Struthio camelus: one gene and its partner. Each later gene encodes a partner of the first gene's protein in a complex. Links are inferred from orthologs where the notes say so. Each region holds a gene or a part of one and is shown on either strand. Other genes may lie near its edges.

Region 1 (11,189 bases):
CTGTGGAACATAGGTTTGGTTGCCAAGGTCAGTACATAATGTGTCTTGCACCTTTAATGTAGCTTCCGGCCATGTTTTCCAAGTTCACACATGCCCATTTTATGTGTTTGAAAAAGATTTGGGCTGCTCACTTGGAGTGAAAAGCATTCCTTCCTGACTGTGCCCAAGAGACATCGCTCTGTTCAGGGGTGAGGGAAGCTGCTTCCTGTAACTCCTCTCCTCTTGCCCTCACATAGCGAAGAGATTTCTCTTCGCCATCCCTGAAATCTCAAACATTGCTGCTCCCTCTCCTGAGTCATCACCTGGCATCTGTCACGGTTTGGAGAGTGTTGTTAGGGTGAGGGGAGGGGTTTAGCCTCTTACTGTCTGTACTGTTCTGTTTGTTTACTGATGTCTTTAAACATTAAATCAAGAGGCAGTATTTTTCTTACCTGACCTGTTGTTCGTCTATTTAATGCTCATGCCTTTTTGGCTCCTGGCCTGTCGAGGACTGAGAATACATGTATCATAGGGTAGTGTCCTCTGCTGTCTGACCTGTGAAAGTTCCTGTTTGCTAGATGAATGGAGGGCATTCAGCTCCTCTAAGTGTATGCCGGCGAGTTTTCTGCTTCAGTGCACAATGAGGAGAGAGTCTTGAATTCCTGTACAAAAGGACAGGTCCCGTGGGCTGATAGACGCTCCTGCTTATCCCTCTGGTTCTAGTAAAAGCTTTACAGGAAGCTACAAAGCTGGTTTATGCAACCTTTCCAATAATAGTTTTAAATGTCATAGTTTCTTTGAGTTGCAGCTTGCGTAAGAATCTGCCCTTTGCATTCCCACTTTCCTAAAGCCCAAGTTAGAGACTGTTTCTCTTTGTTCCTAGACCTGCCACTGTCTACCTCTTCATTGCCCCTCCCCAGGCCCATGACATTTGTCATTTATCAAGTAAGCTCTCATGAGCCTGCGTGGATTGACATTCCTCTTACTTTTTGTACAGTAGCCACTGCCAATAAAGCTTCTGTGTAGAAAAACAGGAGAGGTAAAAGAGGAAAATATGATTCAGGAAGCATTGAACAGAGCGTATGTAACTTGGGATGTGAGGGCCAGAAGGAGACACCGACTTGACCGGGTCGGTTGGATGTATTCACAGGCTACGCCTGTTCCTGTTAGGCTGTTTACACAACTGCCAGCCCAAGGCCTCAGGATTATGGGGAGGAGGTAAAACTCTGCCACAAGTGAGCTGCAGCTCACTTTACTACTACAGTGTAAAGCAGGCAGTCATTCACTGTTACTCCCGCTATGTGCCTAGAGAAATAGTATTTTTGCATGCAGGGTTCTCTACAGTTGTTTCCACTCTACTTGACCAGTGTCCTAGGGCAAACAGCTTAGGATATCTCAGGCAATGATGTGCATTCATGTCCTGCATGCTGTGTGCTATTTTGCCCTTGCTTCTCCAAAAGGTTATAGTAGAATTAGACTAGCTATGGAGAAGGACGCTGAGGCTGATGAAAGGTGCAGCACAGCTTCTGCATGTGGAATGACTCAGTAGACAAGGATTCATCAGCTGGGAAGAGAGAATTGAGTTGGAAAATGATCTGTAAGTTCTATAAAGTCATAAGCGTCAGAGAAAATCTCTCCTTCTACAAGAATTAGAGGAGCATCAAAAGAAGCTAGCAAGTGGCTAGTTCAAAAGAAGGAAGTTGTTTTGTGCATACCTAGATGGACAGTGCAACTTGCCATGAAGTACTGTGAATACTGAAAGCTTCTGTGGGTTCAGAAAGGGACTAGGAAAAAAAATAAAAAGGACCAAGGTTGTTAAATTCAAAGACACTTCTAAGCACAAATTTTTGGACACTGGATGTATGTTCTGTAAAGTATTGCTATGCGCTTACCCTAAGGCTTGGTTAATCATATTTGTGTTCCTTATGTGCTTTAGCTGACATGCTGTACTTTGCATATCAGAAGACTCAAAATGCCAGTACAATGGCCAGAGTTTTGAAAAACAAAGACTGGAATCTGAACAGAAAATAACTTTTTTTTTTTTTAAATTCCAGTTCCTGTTTCATCTGATATCATCAGAGAGCTAGCTTGTTTCATCTGATGGTGTCATCAGTTGTATCAAAGCTGATTTACAGGAATGCAGTCTCTCACCTCTGGTAGTAGTCAATATTTGCTTCTTCAAAAGAAGAGGGAAATCCTCCCCTTGTAGCTCCATCTCTTACTGATGAAGACTGTAAACTTCGCAAAAACTCCACAGCCAGTTCTTAGTCAAAATTACCTGTCCTGTTTGCATTGAGGTACCTCTGTTACTTTTAAGAAGCAACAAATTCTGGGGCTTTCAGTTGTATTGCTCTTCCTCCTGCACTTTGATTCGCACATCTCTTTCTATCCCATAATAAGCCCTCCCCTGGCAGCCTTTTTAGGCTCCATTCCTCCCACAGTAGAGAAACGTAAGTGCTTTCTTTCCTCCTTGTGATATGGTATGCATCACTTGTACAGCCTGTGCTATTCAAACTTTCCCTCTTCAGAATCCTTGTCTGTTCTGGGTTTTGAAATAAGGCTGCAAATTCAGAGGATTGTCTTTATCTGGGTTTCTGATGGGTTTTCTTGGAAACGGCTGTGAAACAAATTCAGGCTGTAGAGATTTTTCCTCCCAGTTGTATTTTCCCACTGCAACGGAGCTGTCAGAAATGAGAAACTGAACTAAAATTGCCATCTGATACTGCAGGACTACTCAAGCTGCATTAGACCAAAGGTTCATGTAGACCAGTGTCTTGTCTCTGGCATCACCCAGTAATAGATGCCTACTGAAGTGGATAGGAACAAGACAAGTGTGAAATCCACAGTAGTAATATACTAGATAAGGTGGCAAACTTGCACATCTTGAATGTGGGGTCATGATATGTATCTAACACAAAATTGACTGGTAGGCTGCTTTATAAAGTACAGGATAGTCTGGTACCAACTGAAATTAAATTAAGCCAGATTTATTTATCTTTAGGAAATGTGTGAGAACCAACACTTGCACAAATAGATAAAACAGCTGCAGTTTATAACGTACACAGTGAGCGTCAACTGACTGCATTTAGTTGCTGTTATCGATGGGCAACAGAGATCACAGAAGGGTGAAAAAAATTCAGTCACAAAGTTCCTAGAGAGTACTTTTGTCCTCTCTTGCTGTATTTTCTTTCCTATATTTTAGCAGGAAAAAAGCTCCCTTTGTATTTTTGAATTCAGTTGTTCAAAATAGAGGTAGGGATGATGTGAATGTCTCTGTGATTGAGGTGGAAGCCCTTGATCTGGGAGGTTTCCTAAAGGTGACAGAGTTGTGGCTCCGTCTGACAGTTCCCCCCAGAGCTTGACCCTCCTTGGCCAAGGATGTGTTGTTACAGGCCAGCCTCATGCTTTGTTCAGATTTTGCAGTCTGCAGTCGTCCCAGAGGAACACAGCTCTGATGTGGGCTGATAAGCTGAAATGTGGACTTCTCATAGAGCCGTAACCGGGCTCACTAATTGCTTTGAAAATGAAGACCAAAAGCCTTAAATGACTCTTCCAAAAATGACTGGGAGCCAACAGAGTAACTGGAGCAGGTGCTTAATGCTTATGGCAGCCAAAAAGAGAGGGAAGACAAGGTGGCCTGTCCTGAACTACTAGCAGCTGCCCCTTGGACACAGCGAATGATGTAATTTAACCTGGAGGCCGCAACCACGTCACTAGCTCCCCATTTGGAAGCAAGGTAAGTCAGTGGAGCTCCATAAGTGAACTGGCAGCAAAAGGAAGAGTGCTTAGTCATGAGCAGCATATAGCGACTGTAAGGCTGGAGCCCGGAACATGGGCGCACCTCCGGGACTAGGAGCAGCTTGGCTTTAGTTGCAGAGGATGCCTTAACTATCCCTTCAAAACATTTTCTGGCCAATATCAGAGTGGTCCTGCCTGGTATGAATCTGGGAAAATGGGTGTTGGGCACTAGAAGTGTCCCCCCTCCTCTCGGAGAGGAGACAGGACTGTGTTTTGTTGAGCACATTCTGTGATTTCACGGGCAAATGGAACAGAAGCAAACAAGCATTTTCTGGTCATTAAAAGGAGAAAATTCAGGCCTATTTGATGAATGCACTTTTGAATAGCTGCTTGTTTCAGGCTTGCCTGCTGTGCATCAAATATTGACTATGACCTAAGCAGGAAAGATGTGTGTTGAGAGACTGAATTATCAGAATAATGCCCACGCGGGTGCAGCTATGCTGCCCTACAGGGTGACTTGCAAACCTTTTGATGGGAACAGGATGTAATGCTGGGTGCCAAAAAAAGGTGCGACTGATTTTGCCACTGCATTGTAGCTCAGTTCTATTTAATAGAAACTTAGATGAAGGGGTCAGAAGAATTCATTTGGCTCTGAAGAGTGAATATATTCAGAGATGTTCCTGTCCTTGGTGAGTAACTCTGCTTTATTTCTATTTTAGTATTTGCACAGATCATGTTGCGGGAGAGAAAGGCTAGCTAGAAATGAATGCATGTGGTTGTTACTCCAAGGATGGGATCAAGCTCCCACTGCAGTAGCAGTGTTTTAGAAAAATTTCATGCATAATCCTAGCTGGTGGTTTGTGAGGCTTCTGCAACTGTGCTTATATACTCAGGTTCAACTCCTCCTGCGAGGGACATGTGCGCTGACTCCTGGGGGCTGGACACACAGCATGGCTAGTTTGGGTACCCAGAACAAGCAGTTATTTTGGCTTTGTAGGGATAGGCGCTTAGGGCTGGAAGAATCCAACCTGAAGCAGAAGCACCCTTTTTATCCTGAGCCTGGCACCCTTTGAAATATCCTGTGCCTGCTTGTTTGAAAAAGAAACAACCCGAGGCCCACATGGATGGAGCAAGCCTCCAGAAGGTAATGAAAAAAAGGTTGGGAGAAATACTATGCTTTGGTGACAGAAAAACAATAGATAAGAAAAAGCCCAAAGGGCTTTGCTTGCAGAAGCTGAACTTGGATCACTGGCCTTTAGAGAAGGGTTGTGGCGTGAACCACATGGCACCCTCAAAAGGACCCTCAAAGCACTCGAGTGGGATGCTCCAGGCACACTCGGATAGCACGTGTGTGAACAAACAGTCTGGCTGTCCTGCCCGGTGCTGTCTGCGGTCCCACGTAAGGTGAAGCAACCGTTGCTGTGCGTGATGGGGCTGACTCCACTCTGAGCAAGTCCAGTGGTGCCCGAAGTACTGTGACGCAGAAAGCTATCACGTCAACTCTGTTCTTCGGCAACGAGGTGCCACACAAAAAATTGGCTTGCAAAGAAGCCTAGATTGGCAGTACTCGCCACTTAGATGCTTACCTGTTAATTAATTTGGCTCAATGGCGATAGAAGCTGCTGAATTGCTGTAGCATCCAGCTGAAAATAAGACTGGAACATGTGCCAGGCCTCCCGTATCCAAGCGGGTTCACTGAAGGAAGGAAGGTGGAAGGGCCTCAGAGGAGGATCCTCTGCAGCGTGCCACCACGGATGCCTCACGCACAGCACCGAGGAAGCCACGCTGCTGCTCAGTCTGCTGTACCAGGTTATTTTTCAGGTATATTAAGTTCTAGTTACGTTTTCGGAGGGGGTGTGTTGGTGACCCCTGGCTTGCTGGCGTACCTGGAGTTCTGTGGCGGAGCAGGAGCTCCCGGGAAGAGGTACGCTTCAGCCCTCGCCGCAGTTAGGGACGCGTTTCTGCTCCAAACAGGACCGCGTATATTGGTGGGGCTGGAGCTAGCATGTCTTAATTCTTAAGGACACGGGTGTGGGTTTTTTTCCAAAGCCTCCTTAGCAGGAAAACGGGGCCCGATGACAAAACGTTGGCAACCTCCCGCAGGTCCCCCAGCGAGCCGAAACCGGCCCCAGAGGACTGAATGAAAGAGCAGGTGCCGCCACAGCGGCGTAGGGCAAGAACCCCCCAAGGCGGCGCGCCGCCTCCCTGCTTCGGAGCTGCCCGAGCGCCAGCGGCGCCGGGAGAGCGTTTCGCGGCGGCGGCGGCCGGGCGCCGCCAGGGGGCGCGCGGCGGCGGCGGCAGGAAGTGGGCGGGGCCGGAGCGGAAGCGGAAGCGGGCTCATGAATATTCATGCGGCTAATGAGATGCTGCATGCGGGATGAGGCGGGCGGGGCCGGGCCGGGCGCGGCCGGGGCGGTTGGGCAGCGCGGGCTCGGCGGCCTGAGGAGCCGGCGGCGGCATGGAGGGCGGCGGGGGGGCGGCCCGCGGCGGCGGCCGCGACAAGAAGCGGGGCAAGGCCCCGGCGCCCGAGGAGGCGGCGGCGGCGGCGGCGGGGCCCGGCGACCCCAGCAAGTCCAAGAAATTCGTGAGTGGCGGCGCGGGAGCGGGGGGGGGGGCTGCGGCGCCGCCGCCCGCACCTGCCGCAGGTGCCGGGCCCGGGCGGCCGCGGTCACCGCGGGGCGGCGGGGGGGGCCGGGGCCGCCCGCAGCGAGGAAACCCCGGCCAAAGCCGCTCCGCTGCCGGCCGGCCGGCGGGCGGCAACTTTCCTGTGGCAGCCTGCCCGGTGGAAGCGGACCGGTTTTCTCTTGCTGACGGGTTTGTTCCCCCCCGAGGAAGGGGGGGGGGGGCGGGCTCCCCCCGCCGCTGCCCGCGCCTCGCTGGCGGTCTGGGTCTGCCCGGGGGGGGGGGGGTCCGTGGCGGGCGCGACGGCGGCGGGGCCGCCGGGGCCCCCCCGCTTCGCGCTGAGCGTCGCTCGTTTTCACGGCAACGGGTCCCCCCCCCCTCCCTCCCCCCCCCGCCGGCCTTGGTGATGCTCAAAAGGCGCCTGAACGCGGTGTCCCGCCCGCCGCTGTGGCGGACCCCGCGGGAGCGGGGCGCTGGGCTGGGTGGCGGCCAGAGGTCCCTCGCCGCCGCCGTCGCCCCGCTGCCGCAGCCGTTTCTGCCGTCCGGCTTTCCGCCTGCGCTGAACTTTCTGCAAGCGCGCAGGGCGCTGCCGAGCGCTGCGCTGCCCGCGCTCGCCGCGCTGCGGGAGTTATTCTGCGGTGATGTGCACTTAAGTGATTAATCAGTTGCGCTGACTGTATGCAGCGGCTTTGAAGATGTTATCAGGAACTGGCTGAAACTGGAGACAACTAGGGGTTTTTGCTGGTTGGGAAGTTTGGCGGGGGAGGGGGGTCACCTGTATTGGCACTCTGGAAACAACTACAAGTCTCGACGCTAAGCGAAAGATCGGTGCATCCCTTTCCGTCTCTTCTGACTGCTGCATGACTTACGGAGTGTTTACACTCTGCTTTTCTTCCGTATCAGTTCATGGACTGCTTCTGCTCCTATTAAATGCAGTAGGAGCTGAATTCAGTAGCGGTTTAGCAAAATATCTGCTATAACAATGGGAGGTGAAAATGCAGTAATCCTGTTGTTCAGAGTTTGAAATAGTATTGGGTTCCTCTTGGCATCAGCAGGGTACATGCATGTCTTCCCCTCACCTTTCCTGTTGGCATACCACTGGACTCTGGGTTAGGTACTTTCTCCTCTCTTTGTTGCAGTCTGGATATATGCTTGTGTACTGACGCGTTTGCAGGATGTAGCTTGCCGAAAGGAAACATGTTCTCCTTTGGGAATCACAGAATGGCCAAGGCTGGAAGGGACCTCTGGAGATCATCGAGTCCAACCCCCTGCTCAAGCAGGGTCCTCTAGAGCACGTCGTGCAGGATCACGTCCAAGCAGGTTTTGAATATCTCCAGGGAAGGAGACGCCACAACCTCTCTGGGCAACCTGTGCCAGTGCTCTGTCACCCTCACAGTCAAGAAGTTTTTCCTCAGATTCAGATGGAACTTCCTGTTTCGGTTTGTGGCTGTTGCCTCAACGTAGAAGTAGAAAGGAGATCTGAAAACTGAGATTAACCTTCTTTTTTGTTTGTACTCTTTTTTTTTTTTTAACGCAAGTTCATTGTCATAGATAAAACGACACTTTTTTGCTATTCATAAGGATATGTTGTGTCCATATGGGTCATCTATTAGATTACACAGCAGGGAGCTATTTTTGTTCCTTTATTATTACTGTGCACATAAATATGTTTACTATTTTGTGTTATTTATGGTAGTTTGAGTTCGGTAGTTTAAATCTGATTATATAGCCTCGTAGTAGTGTTTCAGATGGTCTTAACTAAAACAACAAAAAACATACTGATTATACTGGTTGGATATATGATTTTCATGAATGTATTAAGTAAGGAGGTATGAACTGGAATTAGGTGACAGGTGGATTCTTGTCTTCTCACTACAAGGCAGGTTTTCGAAGTTCGTAGGTACTTAAAGAGGCTAAAAGGTGCCCACTGGAATTTTGGCAAGTTAAACACCTTTGAAAACCTGGCCTTACTGCTTTTGATTTCAGAATGAAGAGAGTTCAGTTTCTGTAGTAAGTTTTTTATTTGTAAAAATTTCAGAAGACAAATTCAGTTTCCTGGCTTCCAGTGACCTGCTCCAAATTCAGAAGCTAATCTTTTATATCTGCTGGCTAAGCAGAAATCCAGAGTAATTAACGCACAAGACTTTTTCCATGTGCTGGGAAACAGAGTACCTCTAGCTAGGAAGTACAACAATAGCAACACTTGCTCCGAGACTGAAAATAGCATAAGCACCTAATATGGTAGATGACATTGTGACATATTTATGAAGCTTGCTTTAGCCTCAAAAGTTAGCTATTCCTTCATCTTCACCTCTCTCCTACTGCACAGTTTTGCATATGAACTCTGTCTTCTGCAGCATAACATTTTGGCCGCTGATTGCTATAAATATGATGCAATCAATTGTCATTGGTATTTTATTTGCAAACTTAATGCTCTCTAATTTGCTCTAAGTGTGCAAATCATCATGTCTCTTTATTAGATTACAGTTTGCTGCTGCTTCTCCTGGAGTTGACAGTGCATTCAGGCTTTTAAGCAAGTCTTGCTGCTGCCGCCGCCTTCCCAACTTCCAAACCTCGACCCACCCTTCCTGTCCTAGTGACTAATATACTTGTGCGCTACTTGGTCACTTCCCAATCTCTTCACTGCAGCAGCCTCCTCCTTGGTTCTTCTGTTACTTCATTCTATCCAAAATGCAACTCCTGTGTTTGTCCCCCGTCGTAAGGGAACAATGGAGGTTATAAAAAGTCCACCTATGCTGTTGGTTTACATCAGTTGCAGCTTCCTGAGAAACACCTGTGTGATATTAGAAAGCAGTGAAAGTAATTCTCTTCAGAACTCTGATATAGTTAAACTTGCCCATTTTTTTTTTCTTCACCTTACTTTCAAGATCGTGTTCGGTTCTGCTTTGTCTTGCATCTGTTTTTGTTTCTTGCTGTAACCTGTCTCATTTAGCTAGGAAGACCAATTTCTTCTTCCTTTTCTCTGGTTTCCTTCTTCTGAGGGAGACCAATTTCCTCCTTCCTTTTTCTGGTTTTCTTCCTCTGAATCTGTTTTCTGTAACTGTTCTTCACAGCAACACTTTTTAATACTGTTATTACATGCTTCAACCTTTTCATTAGGTCTCTATAGCCACGCTTTTTGAAGCACATCTGAAAGGTCTGATGTCTGGTCTATGTCAGTATTTACATCCTTTCTGATATGGTTAAGAGAGAGGAGCTGCACCTCAGATTCAGAGGAGACCCATGTCTGCAGAGATGTTTGCAAACTCTCCCGCACTGCGAGTGCTCGTGAAGTGTAGAGCTGTCAGGGGAGAAGCCTTGTCCCGTAATGCTCATCTCTCCTCTTCAGCATTGGGCTCTTGGATGTTTTCAGCGTAGCCGCGTGCTTTCCGCTTCTGGGATGTGTCTTGCATGTGGATCCGGAGCTTGAGGAGCCCTACGGTGCCGTCCTGCAGCTTGGGCTGCGCTCTCTAATGGGGCCCTGTGACAGCCCGTTTCCACGCGACAGCCGTGTGCTGCAGACCCTCTTGTGCAGGTGGTAGTGCATCTGTCAAGCTACCTGTTACCTGGAGTTTCTTTTGGTAGCTTTCAGATAAACTGAGAGGTCAGAAAGTATCTCACTAGTACACTAGATGAAACTGGCTGAAAAAGTCTCAAGCGTTTTGTTTGGTATTATAGCCCTACCCTACCACACGTCCTCCTTATATGTCTCTATTAGATCTTTCAAGGCAAAGTCCTGTTGTGTTTTTAGGATTAAGAAGAGTTAACTCTGAAATCTTGTTCTCCTTGCTTTCTTTTTTACTAAACTATTGCTGATTAATATGAAAAGTTTCTTGTTCTCTTGGTTTTTTTTTTTTCCTTTTTCATTTGACCTCCTGCTACTTTTTTATTTTATGCATCTGAGGCTTAATTAAAAAGTGGTGCTGCTTTTTTTTTTTTAACAGGTGTAAATATCTTTTTCTTCTGTTATGTCGTATGTGGGAAATTGTCTTTATATAAATTAGATTTGTTATTTGTGGATGAATGCTGAACTCTGCTAAGCTGAGCATTCAGAAGTTAAAGTTAGAATGAAAGTTGTCTGGCTGTAAATTTGCATCTTCCTTTTGTTAACACATTTATCCCATGATCCTGAATGATCCATGATCCTGAATGATCCATGATCCTGAACGATGTCCCCGCCTCTTTGTGTGTCGAAAGCCAGAATAGGGTTTGTTTGCCTAACATATTGTAACACCTGACTGATTTATTATCTGAAAATCTGTTACTTATGAGTTAATAAAAATCAATGTTGTTGACAGCGTATGTAACACGTGAAGTTACTTGACTATCAAAATACACAAGCGTAGTCTGTACTAGCTGCTGGGAATCTCTTATTTTTACGTCTTGTTCAGCTGAAGTTTGGAATCTGAGGCTTTTCAGCAGCTTCTTTCTTCCATGTGAAAGCCTGGAGTGGAGTGACAAAGTCTGAGACTAGCTCAGAGTGGACTAAACAGGATCTTGATTATAGGTTTGTGGTTTGTTTATGCTTATCACAGTCCTTTGATTATCCTGTAAGTGTTCAGCTTTTGGAGTTTATGAGCTGGTTTTGCAGCTGCTGATTATCCAGGCAACGCTGACTGTTAAACCCTTGTCGTCGTCTTCAAGGAGGGGGAAAAGTGTTAAGCTGTAATCCCCTTCTTTAGCCTGTTAATTAGTGCAAAAACTACAAGCCATCAGGCTCCAATCAAATAATCTAAGAGCTCTTTTTCTCCTAGTTGAGAAGACAAGTTTGGGCTTAGGCACAAAAGTCCTCCCCGGGAAAGGCCTGAGGTTTCAGCTGCTCTGTGCTGGGCCAGATGCAGCTTATCTGC
Region 2 (11,385 bases), on another chromosome or scaffold:
GCAAACCAATTATTAAAAAGGTAAAATCATATACCATTCAACTTTGAAAGAAAACATGAGACGAAGCCTTGGAAAAGTCAGATATTGTTCCTTTTCATCCAACAACATTTCTCAGTGAGGTCAGTTAAGTAATCACAAAAAGCAGAGATACAGACTTCATAGTAATAAAACAGTTAGCTACTCTTGTTCAACCACACTGAGCAGATATCCCTGAAAAAATGATCGTCTTTTGAACCCGTGCTCCCTCACTCTGTTTCGTTTTCCTCCTTTCTGTCTCCTCTCCCTCTAACTTCAGGCTTCTCCACCTCCCTCACTGAATTTCTTAGTCTCCATTTTCGCTTTTTGGATTCCATACCACCTTTCACTCACTGAAATAGTGCTGAAAGAGCTGACGAGCACATGTAAAGGGTCACCGACGAGCTTCAGCAGGAGTAACTGGACAAAAGAGCTTGGATTGGCGCTGCTCCCCCCTCCCTCAGCTGTACCACGCTATCCTTAAACTTACTGAATTTCCTCCGGTTTTACAACCGAAGAGTTAATGCTCAAGAGGGCTATCAGTTTGGGTTCAATTTACTTTATTTTTTTAAAGCAAAATAAAATATTGCAGGATCTAAGTACACCAAGTAACTTGAGTGCTTGACAAATCCGAATACACAGCAAGCTGGGTCATACAGGCCTAATTCTGCACGCCTCACTCATACAGGGACTCTCACTGAAGACACTACTATGAACCTGAGACTACTTGCCCAGGTAAGAATTTACCTACATTTTTTAACGTATAATTTATCAGATTAATGTTTATAGCGTGTTGGCCGCTTGTGAAATCAAGTTCTTAGTTTAAAAGCCCAAAAGCTGAGCAAAGCTCCATTTCCAGCATCTTTATGACTTCTCTGGCTAGACAGTCTATAAACCAGATCCACAAAGAGTTGTCCTTACTCAGATTTAAAGCTATCGTACTTGAATAGAAGCAACCTCATACCATTAGCATCTGACACAGCAAGCATGTCTAACCTTGCATTCATTTTTATAAGTTACATTTTAGGTTTATGTGGGAAGTTGAGGGCTAAACAAAAGATAAGGAAGAAAAATTCCTCTTATTTACTTACCTCATTGACCCCTAGAAAGGCAAAGACTCTATACTGGCACAACCACACCAGGCAAGACTCCTCTATGGAGATTTAACTGACATCCGCGCTTGGAGCTAAACTGCCCTTCCAAACGATGGAAGAGGTACTAACAAAAGACCTTTCTCGCAGAACCTCTTGGATAGTTTCCAGCACCGTTTTACAAGATTCTTTTTAGTGCCATCATAACTATGCTGACATGGGATATGGCTTTTTTTCTGCACAGATGTAGCTAGGCAATAAAACTTTGCATTGTAGCCTCAATCTAATGTTCATTTCATTTTCTATAACCATATTTTTTTAATCCTCAACTCATTAATATTTAATTTTTACTATTTAAGTATTTACTAATACTAATTATTTAATACTTCTAGTTAAGACTCATCCTAGCCTTCGGTGGCTTCCTCGTTCTCCATCCAAGTTAGTCAATCAGTTGGGGAAGCACGCTAGTAACACGGGTTTCTGGTTATCGCCATGAGATTACAAGATAGGACGCTCCCTGCTTCTCGGCTTTCCGTCAGCGGCGCCGCGGCCGCTAACGCACCGCGCTGCTAAATCAGTCCCACCCTCTGCCCGTCCGAGCGCGCTTGCGGTAAAGAACACAGGCTGCCACAGGACGTACCATGCGGTCGAGAGAGGAAGTATCAAAAGCAGTACCACAAACTAATGCGAAAATTGGTAACACTGGAGACAAAGAACATACTGAATGAACTTTGTTGGTTTAGAGGTACTGAATGAAACGTCACAGTCAAACCACCAGAAACTCACAACGTGGATTTTTTTTTCCCCATGGTTTCAGGTAGACTGGTTATATCTGTGGGGTGGGTTTTTTTTTTTTTTTTTTCCCAGATTAAGTTTTCAATTAAGAGCAGCAACACAATAAGCTTGAAAATAATATTTCTATTTGAAAATTTTGTACCTAAGTGAATTCTGTATTAGAAAAGAAAAAAAAATCGAAATCCTTTCTTCAATATTGTTCTGTTTGCCCTGTAAAGTTTAATTTTCATTGTGAAGTCAGTCTTGCCTTCTGTTGATGGTCACCTGCTCCTCCTGTCTATACATAAATGCCATCTACAGTTATCTCCAAATGGGTGAATTTGGTGGAAAACAAGAAGAGCCGGGGACATCACAAGAAATCTTACCGTTAGCCCTCCAGCCACGTTGGGCACGGCAGCAACAGCGGTAGTTATAAAGCCTGACAGAACACTGCAACTTATTCTACCTACAAAACATACACACCTCTTCAAGGTTTTGGCCAACTTCAACTTTTATGTTACTAATATAAAGGCAGTGAGGCGTTTTACAAAGCTATAAATAGTACACAGTCTACATTTTAAAATGATTTCAAAAAAGCATTTGTTCTTAGGTTTGATCCAATAAAAATTTGAGGTGACATTCTGAACCGAAGCAAAAAACCCCTAGCAATTGTTACAAGCTGCATTAAAAAACGCGGCAGCAGCGTACCTTCCAAAAAGGGGGACTAGCAGGCAGAACGTAAAAAGAGACTGAAAAGACAAGAAATCACAGTTCAGCAACCACTAGCTCATCTTAATTTTATAGCTCATCTTAATTTTATAGCTCGTGTTCAAATAGGAACATTTAACACATAAATATAGGTACTGATATTAAGATGACCCACTATATCTATGAATTTTAACAACATTTTTATTTTTATATAATCCTTCATTTAGCAACCTGAATGACTGTCATACATTCTCATTAAAATTCGTAACAAAAAAAGTACAACGGGAACCCCTCTCTCTTGCCGTCTTTAACATACGGCGCACATCCCCGTTTTCTTAACTCAAACAGTCTCAAAGCTGCTGTTGCAAAAGCGTCAACACAAACAGCGTTATAATGATTCTGTAAGATAACTTCCAACGCTACCAAATCAGACATCTCACAGTACAATTAGAATTAGAGGATTATGATTACAGATATAAGTACTGGTGACTTAAAATTTGTGATTTATACAAGCTACCTTGTAGTTTCATAATATTAAATAGTGGTAACCCAATTTAGACTTCACTTTCTAAATACATTGCTAGCGTTACTCCACGAACCACACCAGTAAAAGCTGAGCTACCAAGTGAGTATGTGGCAAATTCTCTCTCTACTCCCTTCCATCCGTTTATGCTCAGAAGATCCAAGGCCTCAGCGCAGTTGTTTCCATCATGAAAGGCAAACAAGCGTACCCCCTGCCTTGCTAACACAACCTCTTTCATCAAAGTGCCACTTACACTAGTGATTACCTATGTTTTGCAGCTGTTAAAAAAGGGATATTCTGCACAAAGCAGTGGTAAGATTATCTGAACCACTCTGTATTCAACTACATCCAAGTGAAAGATTTGACTAATTATGCAGAAGATTCACTAAAATCAGCTGATTTTAAACTGATGAGACTGCTGGAGTCCCAGGGATCATTAAGGAGCACCTCACTCGCACCAGGCTCACCTGGCTGCTGAGGACTTGAGGGCGCTCGCAGGAAGCAGGCTGTCGGGCAGGACCTCCTTGTGAACTCACCCAGGAGGGAGTGATGCGTCATGCTTTTGGGAAGACGGGCTTTCACGAGTCTGCTAAAGGAATCCTCGTCCCCCTCAAATATACTGCCCTCAGAGACAACACTGGTTCCAGCTTTCTGTGGTTCCAGCACAAAACAGAAGTGGCTCGATTTCCCGTTCATCAGCAAGAGACATGACACATGGCTGCTAAAGTACCAGCACGCCTCTCCTGACTAAGTTCAGCTCTGAAACGGCAGGCACCATTTGGCCCCCATCTACCATGAAACAGGACGTCAGGCTGTGAGCGCTCTGAAAATTGGTATTCTCGGTCCTCAGGCAGAAGGGAGGGCCGTATGTGTCAGAACGGGTGTGCAAGAAGGTGAGGTAACTCCAGGCAAGAGGCCAGCGCAGCTTTTGGCTAAAGCCCTGGATACCCGCAGCTTCTTGCGACCTCTACCTCCACGCTTGGACCAGCCAGCCTGCTGCCCACGCAAAGCCTCCCTAATCAAAGGATAACGAGGCTGACAAACGAGCAGCTCAGGAATTCCCAAGCCCTGTCCCTTGGGCAAAGGGTGATAAGGTGCCTGCTTCTCTATTTATTAAATCCACTTATTAAAGTGGAACAATCTGGAATTCTCACTCCGGCTTGCAAAAGCAACAAAAAACCAAAAACACATACAAATAAACAAAAAATCCTCCGCACTTTGATCCAACTCCAACAACAACAAAAAAAAAAACCCATCAGCCTTTTGTTCTTTTCAGACTGATGCATTCCGTCTGTGCAAATAACAGCGGCGGCCCAGGAGCCCTTGCAGGAAAACATTAACAAGAGAAGTGGTCCTCAATGGCCAGTTCGGACAGAAGAGGCCTTTTCCTTCTTCCCATGAAAGTAATCTGGGGAGAGAAGATGAGGAAGGCAAACCAAACATCACAAAAACTTTTAGCTATTTAAAGGGCCAAAGGCAAATGTAAAGCCCATAACTCGTTAGCAAGTACAACTGTATGAGGACATTTCTGGGACACATGGATGGATGGATGGGAAAGCATAAAGCAAATGGTGCTGTCTAAATTCAGTAGGGAAAAGGCAGTGTGAACATAAAACAGCAAAAATACTTATAGATTTGAGCTAAAAGGTGCAAAATAAGCTCTTCAGTAAGTATCAAATAATCAAAACAGCTTCTGTTAGCATCTAAACAACAGCCAACCCCATGACAACTGAATTAGGGTTTAGTTTAAAGGGAGTAAGAACAGCCTCAGGCGTGCAGAGGGTACACTGCTTATAAATACCTGGTGAATATTCTTGCTGGGGGAGATAACCCCAGGAAAAACCAGATTCAAATATTGTATTCTGTGCCTTGGAAAATTCAGGTATTAGCTCCAGCTGCTTGAATTAGAGCTCCAGAGTAAGCTACGTGGAAAGCCACTTCACGCTCCACTCATTTTCATTTCTAGGGAGTCATAAGAGATAAAGCAAACAAAGCAAAACTGTCCTGTCCAAAAGGAAGGGGACCTGTGAAATCCGAATTTTAAGTCGGACCGAGCCATTGCCCTGAAACCCCGATTCACGCAGACGCTCCTGCAGTTTTCAGGAGGAGAGCGTTGTGAGGGGCGAGCCTGCCCGGGGCCGAGCGCCAAGGCATCAAACCCGCACCGCCAACGCGGAAACTGAATTGTCTCGGCAAAACCTCGTCGGAACCCGGGAGGGGCGAGGCGAGGCGAGGCGAGGCAGCGGCGGCCCTGGCGTCACGGCCGCCCGCCCCGGCCCCGGCTGCGGCTGCGGCTCGGGGCCGCGCCGAAGGCCCGTCACGGCGCCAGCAGCCCTGCCCGCCGCCCACGGGCTGTGCGGGACAAAACGTGCAACGCCGAGGAGGGCGGGCAGCGACCTGAGCTCCGGCCTCGGCGGAGGGCAGCCGCCGGCTCGGACCGCACCGGACCGCACCGGACCGGGTCCCGCCCTCCGCCGCCGCCTGGGGGGGCTCCCGCGGCCCAGCCCGGCCCCCCCGCCGCGCCCCGGGGACCCTCCCGCCGCCCCGCTTACCGCGCCTGCCGACCGGAGCGCGCCAGGCCGGACCGGACCGGGCCGGACCCGGGCGACGGCGCCGCGCGACGCAGCCAGAGCCGGGCGGCGGGGGGAGGCGCGGCCGCGGCGCACCGCCCCCCATCTCCCCCCCCCCCCCCCCCCCGGCGGCGGCGGCGGCCCGCGGGACGCGGAGGGCGGCGCCGGGCCGCGCCCCTCCTCCCGCCCGCCCCTCGCTCGGCTCGGCAGCGGGTGGGCTGGGGCGCGCCGCTCGCTGCAGCGCTCGGGCTCCGCTCCGCCGTCGCGCGCCGCCGAGGAGGGAGGGAGCGAGAGCGAGAGGGAGAGGGAGAGGGAGAGGGACCGCCTCGCCTCGCCTCGCCGCGCCTCAGCCGCCGCCGCCGCCCGGCTCCCGCCGCCGCCCGCCCGCTGCGCCCGCGCCGAAGATGGCCGGCTGGCAGAGCTACGTGGACAACCTGATGTGCGATGGCTGCTGCCAGGAGGCCGCCATTGTGGGCTACTGCGACGCCAAGTACGTCTGGGCGGCCACGGCCGGCGGCATCTTCCAGAGCATCACGGTGAGGGCGGCGGCCAAGGGCGATCGGGGGCGGCCGGCGGGCCGGGGGCACCTTGCGGGCGGCGGGGGCGGGCGGGAGCCCCGCGCCGCAGAGCGCGGCGCCGCTGCGGGAGCTGGGCCGGGCGCTGCCGCTGCCTTTTTTGTCTGCGGCTCCGGCGGCCGCCGGGCCGGGGCGGGGGGGCTGCGGCCCGCTGCGGCGGGGTCCCGCCCCGCGCTGCCCGCGGGGCCGAGCCGGGCCGGGGCCGCGGGGGCCGGTCGGCGGCGGCGGGAGAGGCCGCGCGGGGCGTGCTCGGCGGGGGGTGGGGGGGCGCTTTGCGTAGCGCTGGCTGCGCCCGGGCCCGGCGCTGCGGAGGGACTTACGTGCGCGGCGTAGGAGGCGTTCGTGAATACCCACCGCGCCGCTGGCTCCATGTTTTGCATCGCCAAGATGGCGCACTGCCATTGATCGCTGCCTCCCTCCCCCCCCCCCCCGGCCCGGCCCGGCCCGGCCCGCGCCGCCGCCCCAACCCCGGCCCCGGCCCGCGCTGCCCGCACACGGGGGCGGCGGGCGGGCGCCGTGCGGAGCGCGGCCTGCCCTGGCCGACCCGCCGGCAGGCACCGCACCGCGCCCCCGCCCTGCGCCGGGCCGGCGAGGGAGGGAGGGAGGGAGGGAGGGAGCGAGCGCCGGGCCGGGCCGGGCGGTGCCGGGCCGTGATTGGGGCGGCCGGGCCTGCCGTGACTCGGCACTTCGCGGGCGCCGCGCCGGGCCCGGCCCCGCCGCCGCCGCGGCCCGAGCCGCTTTGTTGCCCGGGCGCTGGGGGCGGGCCGAGCGGCGGCGCCGCGCTGCCCCCGTCCCTCCCGCAGCCGCCGTTGGGCGGGAGCCGGCCTGCAGCTTCCGAGGCCTTTCAGGACAACGGTCCTTAAGTTGCGCTAAACTGCTGCAACGTGAATCGTGAATAACGAGCACGGTGTTCCCGAGCGCTGTCTGAGGGATTTACTGCCTAACCCTGCCTGCAAGAGAGAAGGCCCTTTTAAAATAGGGACTATGCTGTAAGGTACTACCATGCTAACGCTAGACTTTTCTCTCCGACAGCCAATAGAAATAGATATGATTGTAGGAAAAGACCGAGAGGGGTTCTTCACCAATGGTCTGACCCTTGGTGCAAAGAAGTGCTCTGTGATCAGAGATAGCCTGTACGTTGATGGCGACTGCACAATGGACATCAGGACAAAGAGTCAAGGTGGTGAGCCAACGTACAACGTTGCTGTAGGCAGAGCTGGCCGAGGTAAGCGTCGCTTTCTTCGGTTTCAGTTCACTGAACTAAGAACGTGACTCTGATCATAGGCTCAGTCTACGAAAGGAGCCTGAAATCTTGTGTTTAACAACTAGTTTCAGGATGTGACATACTGTGGGTGGATGGCTGCTGTCTGGCCGATTAACTAGATTTCTGCCTAGGAATTCCACTTGCCCTGGTTGCCCACGTGTGATCATAGCTGGGCACTAGACTGCTATATGGTAAAACACCCCTCTGAGAAGCAGGAGTAGGCTATGGATTGAAGTAAGCTTGCCAAGTGTACTGTAACTTGCTATTTAAAATTTACAATAGAGTATCATAGGGATAGGTTAATGCTTTCTAGTGAAATTTGCTTTTCCCTTGTAAACTCAACAGAAAGTTTATTCTGCAAAGATGTGAATTTCTTGTACGAGCGAGCTACTTCTACATGCCTTTTAACAAGTTCCACACTAACTCTTCTTGCACTTTCTGTTGAGCTCTGTGAAGTCTGTCTTCAGGCAAAAAGGCCTGTCCAATTCGGTATCACTGAGAAGCTTGATTTACGCTAGTTTCACCGCTCCTTGCGCTTCTCATTTAACTTCCAGGAAAACATGTTACTGGGAACGCACTGGACTTGAATGTAAAAATCTTCCCTCAAAACACTGGGTACAAGTAGTACGGCTTGTGTTCAAAATATCTAGCCTAGAATTTTTTGGATAGCTATAGGCTAAATTGGTGAGCAATGGACTTTTGCTTATAAAGTACGAAAAGGTAGCACAAAACTTGTCTGTCGGCTAAAGCTACGCGGTGGCGACCATCCACAAAGAACGTTGGCAGCCCTTACACAAGTAGAGTTCTGAATCTTCTCTGCGCATTCTGAAATGCTAATGAGAACTGTTTGTCTTAAGCTTCTTGTGAGCAAATTGCTATGGAGATGTGCAGTCACCTTTAGGTAGGCTGACTGCAGTATTTCCAATTACACTATTCCTAACTTAGAAAAAAACTATTGTGCTTGTGAAAGCACAGTGCTTAATGTGGCCGTATACATGCTAGTGACATCTGGTGGCAACTTGCAGATGATGCCTTACTGGTTGAAGAACCTTAGCGTGTTCTCATTTGCCAGACAGTTTGACACTTCATCACCCAAATTGTGGGATTAGAGAGAGGGTCAGCATTAAAATCTTCTCTGCGCTTCATCTCGTGCAAAAAGTTAAGTGTTTTTTATAGCTGTATTGTTGCACAAGTCTTAGCTCAAGTCTGACCCTGTATTTTTTTACTACTACCAAGCCTGGTTCTTTTGCCAGCAGTGACCCCTACAGATAAGAACGTTCCCTCTTCTGCCGCTTTTCAGAATCACAGTTCTTCCCTACATACTACCGCTTTTGTTAACCTTTTTTTCCGTACGTTTAAAACATAGCCAGGGTTTCCTGGCTGGCTGATGATGAATGGTGCTGATGGTAGATAGGCATCATGATGCTCTTCTGAGATAGCTGGTAGCTCTTCAGGTTGACATCTTTTTTAGCAGTAGACTCTCATGCCTTACATAGTTGTGTAATATCCTGGAGGATAACTCATGCCTTCTCCCAACCCCATCTACCATCTGTATTTTTACAAAACTCCTGTTAAACGAGCTTAATACCCAAATACTAAAACTTGAATTTGAGTGTGTTTATTGCACTGTCTAAAACTTGCATTATTTTCCTTGTCTAACACACTCTTTTTAAAACTTTTTTTCTTTTCTCTTTCAGTCTTGGTCTTTGTAATGGGCAAAGAAGGGGTCCATGGAGGCGGATTGAATAAGAAGGCATACTCAATGGCAAAATACTTGAGAGACTCTGGGTTCTAGTTGCTAGGCAGACTGTTAAGTATTAGGGGAAGATTGCTATTAAACTTTCCTGGCGGTGAGCTTTAAACCTTACATTCTGGAAACTTTATTAGCAATGCAGGGTGATGGGGTATGAACCTGTGTCTCCTTTGTATCCCTTTGTTGGTGGGGAAAGGTGTTATTTTTTTCTTTAATTCTGTTCATTTCTGTTTTGTTTCCTTGTGTACTCCAGCATTGGTTATAGTCATGGGAAAGGAAGGTGTCCATGGAGGGACACTCAACAAGAAAGCATATGAACTGGCTTTATACCTGAGGAGGTCTGACGTCTAAGCAGCCTCTCCCCATCCACCTAGCAACTGTCTTCATCACCACCCAGTTGTGTTCAGTGCTACCAGACTGTAGATGGTAGTTTGTGTTTTTTATTTACCCATTTTCTAATGTCATAATTCCAGTTACCCTTTGTTCATTTGTATGTTAACCACTGTATGTAACCAAGTCCCATATCTGGCACCATTACTGCACCACAATGATGATATGCATGATACCTTGAAAAACTCTTGGGAGGGGAATACGCCAAGTCTAGGCTTTGCTTTGTCTTAGCAATTAGCGTGGTATTGACAACTAAAACAACTTAAATACTAAACAAGGTGCCGATTGTACAATCTGATTTGATCAATGCCTCTTCAGCACTTTGAGCAATTACGCAGCTCACTTAGTCTTCCTTTCATAGAGCATGGGTGGGAGGAAAAAAGTGCATGCATATCTTTACTTCTCTCCCTCTCCTTTTTTTTTTAATTCACGTTTTGTTTGCTTAACCTATTTTTATAGTGCCTGGTTTGTTTAACCAATTTGCCACTCAAAAGCTATTAATGTTACATTAGTTTTGTTGTTGCACTTCACTGTAGGCTTAAGTCTTTTTTTTTTTTTTTTCTTCATGGTGTCTGACGCACGGACTGCTTAATAAGTGCAATCACAAAACTATCAAAGGGTGCAGATGCACTTCCTCCCATGACCTTACAACCACCATCCTGAATGAATCGCCAGGGACATTCCATCACTGCAATAGCTCAGGCACTTAATTTTTTTTTTTTTTTTTTTTTTTGCCAGCTCCTGTTCTGTAGTTGAATTGTAAAAGGCTGCCATTATGGACATTAGATATCCCAACATAACCATCTGGAGTGTGTCTGGTTTCAGTTTTTCATAGGACCAATTTTAATTTGCAGCTTGGGTTTTTTTTGTTGTTGTTGGGTTTTTTTCCCCCCGTTTTTTTAATATGAAACTGCAATGTCATTGTGGAAAACTGCCACCTTCAGCTATTCTGGGAGCTCTGACTGACTCCAGTCTTTCTGCCAGATCACTTACTGGTAAAGAGTTTTGCTGCTCTGAAGCCACTATTTGGATGAAGGTTGGTAGTTTGCAAGCTAAACTGTCAAAATGATGCCATTTCAAATTTAAAATCTTCATTTGGCTTGACACACCCTTGCTGCAGAAATCATGAAGTGAACTGCCTTGTGCACGAGTCATCTGAAATGTGTGTAACCAAACTCAGTTCAGGCACGGTACTAACTTGTATGTCCAATTAAAGAGAACTGCAGAATTCTGTATACAAAAGAATAAATGGGAGATGGTGTTGGTTGGAATAACTGACTTGGCTGTCTTGTGATGAATTTTTAATATGTATTCTGTGCCATACTATTGTTTAAAAAAAAAAAAACTGTTGCTATTGTGAGATGGATTTTAACTGACTACAAGGGTTTCTTTCGAAAGGCACTACTTTAGGGACATTTTAGTATTTGCTTCTACTGTTGGGCCTTGTGGATAATGTACAGATTTAAACAAATTCTTGTTGCTGATTTGTCCATTTCTTTCCCTGCACTTTGTTACATCTGGGATACAGTCTAACTCATCTGATTTAATATGCATTTCAAAAAATGCCATAACTATTAAAAACACCTTGTTTACAGACAGATGAAATAAATTTATTCCAACCAAACAAAATTAGACTGTTGGGTTTTTTTCCCCCCGCCCCCAGGCATCCTCTGAGGCCCTTCATCACTGCATGGCTGACTACCGCATTACTAGCTCTAAGTG

What was found.
Region 2: the proteins of DIAPH1 (region 1) and PFN2 are in contact, whole or in part, in a crystal structure (PDB 2V8F), measured with the Mus musculus proteins. The link is inferred for Struthio camelus from reciprocal best matches to the Homo sapiens genes DIAPH1 and PFN2. Residues at the interface, in NP_031884.1 of Mus musculus: Ile635, Pro636, Pro637, Pro638, Pro639, Pro640, Leu641; in NP_062283.1 of Mus musculus: Ala2, Gly3, Trp4, Ser6, Tyr7, Asn10, Ala28, Tyr30, Trp32, Arg108, Met131, Tyr134, Leu135, Ser138, Phe140.

What each region holds. Positions count from the first base shown.
Region 1 is NC_090954.1:22,032,556-22,043,744, forward strand, and holds the start of DIAPH1 (protein diaphanous homolog 1), read left to right. Parts: upstream 1-6,175; coding exon 6,176-6,301; intron 6,302-11,189. UniProt on the Homo sapiens protein: Actin nucleation and elongation factor required for the assembly of F-actin structures, such as actin cables and stress fibers. Binds to the barbed end of the actin filament and slows down actin polymerization and depolymerization.
Region 2 is NC_090950.1:33,984,167-33,995,551, forward strand, and holds PFN2 (profilin-2), read left to right. Parts: upstream 1-5,865; 5' UTR 5,866-6,085; coding exon 6,086-6,217; intron 6,218-7,288; coding exon 7,289-7,481; intron 7,482-9,217; coding exon of another isoform or gene 9,218-9,315; exon of another isoform or gene 9,316-9,526; coding exon 9,527-9,624; 3' UTR 9,625-11,292; downstream 11,293-11,385. UniProt on the Homo sapiens protein: Binds to actin and affects the structure of the cytoskeleton. At high concentrations, profilin prevents the polymerization of actin, whereas it enhances it at low concentrations. By binding to PIP2, it inhibits the formation of IP3 and DG.